Linked DNA regions of Cricetulus griseus. The protein of the gene in region 2 interacts with the protein of the main gene of each other region in a pairwise test. Links are inferred from orthologs where the notes say so. Each region holds a gene or a part of one and is shown on either strand. Other genes may lie near its edges.

What was found.
Region 1: the proteins of Myoz1 (region 2) and Flnc interact in a two-hybrid assay, tested with the Homo sapiens proteins (2 studies listed by BioGRID and IntAct). The link is inferred for Cricetulus griseus from reciprocal best matches to the Homo sapiens genes MYOZ1 and FLNC.

The regions. Positions count from the first base shown.
Region 1 is NW_023276806.1:198,369,530-198,373,029, reverse strand, and holds part of Flnc (filamin-C), read left to right. Parts: intron 1-37; coding exon 38-155; intron 156-239; coding exon 240-502; intron 503-830; coding exon 831-1,428; intron 1,429-2,001; coding exon 2,002-2,175; intron 2,176-2,279; coding exon 2,280-2,442; intron 2,443-2,692; coding exon 2,693-2,853; intron 2,854-3,500.
Region 2 is NW_023276807.1:200,330,517-200,334,614, reverse strand, and holds the start of Myoz1 (myozenin-1), read right to left. Parts: upstream 2,801-4,098; coding exon 2,728-2,800; intron 1,685-2,727; coding exon 1,506-1,684; intron 1-1,505. UniProt on the Homo sapiens protein: Myozenins may serve as intracellular binding proteins involved in linking Z-disk proteins such as alpha-actinin, gamma-filamin, TCAP/telethonin, LDB3/ZASP and localizing calcineurin signaling to the sarcomere.

The sequences.
Region 1 (3,500 bases), on a different chromosome or scaffold from region 2:
AAGCCACTCCATTCTGACTTTCTGTTGTACCCCATAGGGCAACATGGCAGTAACAGTGACCTACGGTGGGGACCCTGTCCCCAAAAGTCCCTTTGTGGTTAATGTAGCACCCCCATTGGACCTCAGCAAAGTCAAAGTTCAAGGACTTAACAGCAGTAAGTGAAGAGCCACCCTGGGATTGCGGGGTGTTGGGTGAGGGGTGGAGTCTCTGCTCATGGTGTCCCTTGCCCTCTATGCAGAGGTGGCCGTGGGACAGGAACAGGCATTCTCGGTGAATACAAGAGGGGCTGGTGGTCAGGGTCAGCTAGATGTGCGGATGACCTCACCCTCCCGGCGACCTATCCCCTGCAAGCTGGAGCCTGGGGGTGGTGCAGAAGCTCAGGCCGTCCGCTACATGCCCCCTGAAGAGGGACCTTACAAAGTGGACATCACCTATGATGGTCACCCAGTGCCTGGCAGCCCCTTTGCTGTGGAAGGTGTCCTGCCCCCTGACCCCTCCAAGGTAAACACACAGGGGCTGGGATCCAGGAGTTGGGGGCTGATAGGAAAGATGAGTGAGTTATAGGCAGAGACCAGAAGAACACATGAGCCTAGAGTAGGCACATCCAGAGCCAGGAGCATCCTTTCTGGGGGATGGGTCTTAGAGACAGCTTAGTTGTTCAGAGACTGGCATTGGAATCAGACCTGATCCACAGAACTGATCCACTGTTACTCCATCTCCTGGAGTTGGCTGCTACAGCTCAAGGTGCTTGCTCAGGTCACAGCTGCAGAGTCTGGGAACTTAGAAGAAGCCAAGTTCAGGGGACTAACACATGTGTTCATCTTTCTAGGTCTGCGCTTATGGCCCAGGTCTCAAGGGTGGGCTTGTAGGTACTCCTGCACCGTTCTCCATTGACACCAAAGGAGCTGGCACAGGAGGCCTGGGGCTGACTGTTGAGGGCCCCTGCGAAGCCAAGATCGAGTGCCAAGACAATGGAGATGGATCCTGTGCTGTCAGCTATCTGCCCACAGAGCCAGGCGAGTACACCATCAATATCCTGTTTGCTGAAGCCCACATCCCTGGCTCACCCTTCAAGGCCACCATCCAGCCCGTGTTCGACCCAAGCAAGGTGAGGGCCAGTGGGCCAGGCCTGGAGCGTGGCAAGGCTGGAGAGGCAGCCACCTTCACTGTGGACTGCTCGGAAGCGGGCGAGGCCGAGCTCACCATTGAGATCCTGTCGGACGCTGGCGTCAAAGCCGAGGTGCTGATCCACAACAACGCGGATGGCACCTACCACATCACCTACAGCCCTGCCTTCCCTGGCACCTACACCATCACCATCAAGTATGGCGGCCACCCCATACCCAAGTTCCCCACTCGTGTCCACGTGCAGCCTGCAGTTGATACCAGTGGCATCAAGGTCTCCGGGCCTGGTGTGGAGCCACATGGTAAGAGAGGAGCAGCCCACAGTGTCGAGTTATGGGACTAGGCCAGGAGGGAGGGAGGAGAGCTGGGGGATGAGCAAATGGAGGTTTCGGGGGCTCAACACCCCAGAAAAAGGAGCAAGGGGGACCAACAGGGCATGAAGATTAGTCTCTGATCTTGTGACAAAATGGCATCGGCCCCTGGGCACTTTTCTGGTAAGATCTTTGAACTTGTCGATTTAAGGCATCTCAGACCCCAATAAAGCCGAGAACACATAAAAAGGCACAGTGGGAAAGCTGTATCTTAGGTGTCAAGAATCCGGGAGATAGTTACATGAGTGGGCTGCTTGCGAGGGAGACAGATCAACGAGGGATAAGCTGAGCAGAGGCAAGTAGGACACAGTCCTCAGCCTGGCAGGGCACTAACGAGGGCAGAGGACGGCACTGAATGGTGAAGGGAGCAAAGGCAGAAGGTGTGAGGGAAGGCCTGAGACTCAAGGGCGCAGAGAGTTGGCTAGGCTCTACTTAAAGAACAGCTTCGGAGTGAGGGATGAGGAAGGGGCTGAGTAAAGGCTGAGCCTGGCTCCCTGGATCTAGGTGTCCTGCGGGAGGTGACGACTGAATTCACCGTGGATGCGAGGTCTCTGACAGCCACAGGCGGCAACCATGTGACAGCTCGGGTACTCAACCCCTCGGGTGCTAAGACAGATACCTATGTGACAGACAATGGGGATGGCACCTACCGAGTGCAGTACACTGCCTATGAAGAGGGTAAGGGGTTTGTACGAGTGGGAACGGGGCACAGTGTGCTCTGGAGGGCAAGGATGAGGGAGGGCTCTGCGCTCCTTGACTGACTGACTGTGACTGGCTTCCAGGTGTGCATTTGGTGGAGGTGCTATATGATGAGGTAGCTGTGCCCAAGAGCCCCTTCCGAGTGGGTGTGACTGAAGGCTGTGACCCCACCCGAGTCCGAGCCTTTGGACCAGGCCTGGAGGGTGGCTTGGTCAACAAGGCCAACCGCTTCACTGTGGAAACCAGGTATCCTTCTCTTTGCCTAACCTTGACCCAAAGTTATATCCATCTTGATCTCTTGCCCTTTCCATTTATTTGCCCTGTCACCCACTTCATCCTATTTCAGAGGTGACCCAGGGTCATTCTCCCTGTATTCCTAGACAGCCCATGCAGTCCATCCCCAGCAGCCTGCCCTCTTTATTCCTCCCTGTCCCCCAACCCCTTCCCTAACCCTTTCACTGGCTCTAAAACAGCTGACAGGAGTGTTCTTTTATAGGGGTGCTGGCACTGGAGGCCTTGGCCTAGCCATTGAGGGCCCCTCAGAAGCTAAAATGTCCTGCAAGGACAACAAGGATGGTAGTTGCACAGTGGAGTACATCCCCTTCAGCCCTGGAGACTACGATGTCAACGTCACCTTTGGGGGACAGCCCATCCCAGGTGGGCAAAGAGGGTGGGCTGGGCTGTGGATGACAGGACTCTGGCGCCACAAGGAAGACTGGGGGAAGGGTGGATGGGGCGGTTTGCAGAGGGCAGAGCAGCGGGGTAGGAGGTGCTGTGGTGTGAGAGCCCCCAGTTCATTCCTCCAGTTCATTCCTCCAGTTCATTCCCAGAGGCCCTGGCCTGGAGCACCAGGCCTTGGTCATGCTGCTTCTCTTACTAGGTTTGCTGTCCTGTAGCCCAGATGCTTGAGTGTGCCTGTCTTCTCCCATTGTTCTAGGAACTGGATCTGCTAAAACAAGACTCTGTTTTCTCCTTATTGCGTGTTGTATAGCCTCTTCATGTTCTACCACAGTGTCAGAAACAGAAGTCGTTTTTAAAATATTCCATTTTTAACATTTTAACAATCTAGGAGGGTTATCTACCTGGGCTGAGCCCAAGTAAGTGAGGTTTGCCTTGCCTCACTCTGCAAATTTGCATACTCTTGTCTTTTATGTCTCAGCAAGTTCCAAACTGCCTTCATGTTGGTCTTTTGTCCGTATGGACCTCTCAGTAGCAGGGAGGTTGCCTCGTCCTTGGATTCTCAGCACGAGGAGATAGACTTTCCCAGGCAGTGGGGAGAGGATAACCACCATCTCCTCCTCCTC
Region 2 (4,098 bases):
CTTGGCCATATCCATGTAGGCATCTATTTCCACTGTCCCAGCCACCCAGAGGAGGTGGAGGAGGAAGAGAGGAAATGGAACTGGTCCCCTCCTCCTTGGCTGTAACGTCCTGTGCCTGACCTCTCTCCCATCCTCCTCCTCTTTCTTTGGAGAAGCCTGCCTGGAACATATGTTGTCTTAGAGAAAGAGGGTTTAGTTCCCTGTTAGGCACCCTTAAAGAAGAGACTGAACCTTAAAAAAAGATTTATTCAAAAGGAAGATGGCTATAGAAACTTATTAGACTCTCCTAACATTGCCAGATTTAACAAACAAAATTACACACTACTACTTACATTTTATGTTCAGGTATAGAACAATATTTTTAGTATAAATATGCCCTAAGTATTTAATGGGACAAGTTTACATTAAGAAAGTATTTGTTATGTATTTAAATTTAAAATGTAACACACCCAGCACTCAGAAGACAGAAGCAAGCAGAGCTCTGTGAGTTCGAGGCCACTGGTCTACAAAGCAAGTGCCAGGACAGGCTCCAAAGCTACACAGAGAAACCCTGTCTCGAAAAACAAAACAAACAAAAATGTATTATTCAAATCTTATATTGTTTTTTGTTTTTGTTTTTGTTTTTTTGGTTTTTTTGTTTGTTTTTTTGGGTTTTTTTTTTTTTTTTTCCAGACAGGGTTTCTCTGTGTAGCTTTGGAGCCTATCCTGGCACTCGCTCTGGAGACCAGGCTGGCCTCGGACTCACAGAGATCTGCCTTCCTCTGCCTCCCAAGTGCTGGGATTAAAAGCCGTCACCAACGCCAGGCTTCTTATATTGTATGTCTAAAATGTTACATGTTACAGGCAACATATTTACAGAAAAAAGAAAAAAAGACAGGTGTTCGCTGTAAAAACTTAGCCAACTCATAAGCAATCTTCCTCAGCCTCCTCAGTGGTCCAGCTCATTGTGTAGACTTGGAGGTCAAATGTAACTGGATACTCTGTTTGACCTTTGGTGTCTCAATGTCTTGATGTCTTCATTGGGAGCAATGGAAATGAAACCTAGGGTTCCATGCATTCTAAGCACCTGCTCTGCCACTCAACTATACAGTCAGCCCCGAGATTCTGTAGTTTTTGATGCTTGTTTTATTTTTATGTCCCAATATTACAAAGAACATACTTCACTAAAAGAAAATATTCATTGTGTATCTTAACTTCAAAATACAGGACGGGTGTCCCGTGTTTTATCTGGCAACCCTATTTTAACACTTACCCACACTGGGAAGGAATTTTCCTCTGGGTGTGGTACTCCTCAGCCTGCACTGGCTCTAAGATGAGGACTAAGATTCAGAAATGGGCTGCAACCCACCCTAGAGCTGCTGGGAATGTAATACATGTACGGGACTTAATGAACTTATCATTTCTCATGGAGAGGAAGTGGGTGGTATTTGGGGAACTTAGGGCCCGCTGAGAGGCTGTCAGAAAAGGCACTGGGCTGTGAGAGAGTTGGTCACATCCATACTCACCATTGAGCTGTCAGAGAAAACATCCGGGTGGTTCTCATAGATAAATTTCTCCACCCTCATCTGCCGCAGCTTGAACATCTTGGAGCCTCGGTTGGTAAGTAATGACAGCTCCTCCAACATCACATCCCTTGGGACACTGATCTTCTTGCCCAGGTTCAGGCCTGAGTTCTCCCGTCCACCTTGTCCAGGAGGTGGAGAAGGGGCGATAGAGGAAATTAAGGCTTTCTGGACTCAGAGAAGAACCTCCACCCATAGCTGAGTGTATAGTCAAAGAGATCATTTAGAGGCAAAATTCTGTGATCTGACCAAGTTCTGCCTAGTTTATGAGAGGTTTTTGTCTCATTTGTGTATCTTTTAAATATTTTAAGAGAGAGAGGGGGGGTCCAGGGTTTCACTATGTAACCCAGAGTGGCCCAGAATTCACTGTTAGACCAGGTTGGCATTGAACTCACAAATCAGCCTGCCTCTGCCCCCTGATCACTGGGATTAAAGGCATAGGCCATCATCACACTCCATGAGAAGTCTTGATTTCCTGGTTTGGAGTTAGAGAGAATACACAGGAACAAGGGTTCAGGGCATATACAGTCGGAGTACTAGAGTAGAGAAGTAAACAGGGCTACAAAGAATATGGGCTTGGAGTGGAAGAGAACAAGTGTAAGGGAATATTGTAGACAGAGGTCACTGGAGAAATTATAGCTTGGGAGGAAGCTGATAGTCCAATATCATGTGCAGTTGCCCCTCTCTAAATACAGATCCTTATTTTTTTTCTTTTTGATTCAGTGAACTCTGGCTCCAGAAGTATCAGGAGAACTTCACACCTGGTAACTCGTTTACATCCCTGGGGAGTATGCCTGCCCAGTTTCCTATTTTAAATGCTTACACAAGTTCTCTAGCACTTAGAAAGAAATAAGGAAGTTAACCATTTGGTGAGGTCTAGCTTGTGTCCTGTGGCCCTGGGCCTGGCTGAGTAGTGTAGCTGGGTGCTGTCTCAGAATAACCAGTGGCAAGGGTGGAGGATGCAGAGTAAATGTGGAATTCTTCCTGCTTCTCTCTCCTTGCCCTTCTTACCCCTCCCATCACTTCTGTCTCCCACACCTTCCGTGGCTGGAATTCCTCCTGTATTTTCACTCTGACTTATATCCAGTCTTATGTAATTTCTGGGACTCCCGAGTCATGGGTGCTCTTAAAAGTCAGGCACTAGGGAGCTACAAGCATGCCCTACCTCCGGTGAGCTCCATGATCAGTTTGCTGGGTTTCCTCCTCTTGTTAGGGGCCGGGGTTCCCGAGAGCGGCATGATGGAAATGGACTTGACCTGGAAGGAGTGGGAAGCAGGCTTGAAGAAGAATCTTCTTTTTCTTAATTTTTTTTTTTTTTTGAGACAGGGTTTCTCTGTGTAGCCCTGACTGTCCTGTGTCCTGGAACTGGCTGTGTAGACCAGGCTAGCCTCAAACTCAAGAGATCCTCAAACCAAGCTCCTACCCTCCTTGCCCAATCTGCCTCTGCCTCCCAAGTTGGCATGTGCCACCACCTCGAAGCTTCAGTACTCCTTAACTTGGGGTTAAGAACAAAGTTTCTTCGGAGTGTGTGTGTGTGTGTGTGTGTGTGTGTGTGTGTGTGTGTGTGTGTGTGTGTGTGTTTCTCCAGTGCTGAGGATTGAATTCAAGGCTTCATTATGCCACGCAGGTTCTCTACCACTAAGGTATGCCATCCAACTCTCAGGTTTTCACAGAAGTGTGTATTCCTCCCAAATGGTAAAACTCCGCTGTCTTAGGACTTGTTTTCTTTGGAATCAGAACAGGAGGCAGAGCTGCCCCCTTTTCCCTACCTCTTACCATCCTCCAGTGCCCATTTTCCATAGATCCTGTGGGGGGGGAGGCGAGAGCTGTTTCAAAGACAACAACCCTGGCAGGGCAGTGCACCCAGGTTTCTTGGCCTGGCATGATTTAAAGCGATTATTTGTATTGGGGTATCAGCCTACAGCTATGGCTCCAGACTCTGGTCTCCTCCTCAGGCTTCCCTCAAGGTCCAAGGGGTAAAGAAATGCTCTGCTGGTGTTAAGGAGATTCAGCCAAGACAGTCTCCATAGGAAGGAGAGGTTGTTGTTCTGCCAGGAGGCCAACTGGAACTTGGCCTGAGAGGTCATGGGTGTGTTCCTTGTTCCTTCAGGCACTCCTATCCCAAGCTGCAGAGCTGGGGTGGAGAGTGAACTGAGGGCATCTGAGCACTGACAGATGTCAGTTCAGCGATATCATATATAACAGTAGAGAATTGTGAGGGGACAGAAACATAGTAATAAGATTTGGCTGTGGATGGCGACAAGCTAGGGAAAAACATGAACTTCAATTTGTCCTTAACGCTCATGCAGTTTTCTGTGGAGTCTTGTCTCAGAAGTACAGATACACTCTACCAACCTCCCAGGGTCTCAGCCCCCCCTTCCCATTCCTCGGGTACCTCCCCACCCATCTTAATTCCACCCAACTCCTTAGGTCCATTTGTTTCCAACTCTGTGGCTCCAACTGGACAGCTGAGAGCTGGGCAGAGATGAGGAGAGAGGCCACTCCCCTAGGATGAAGGATCACAATCACAGACAAA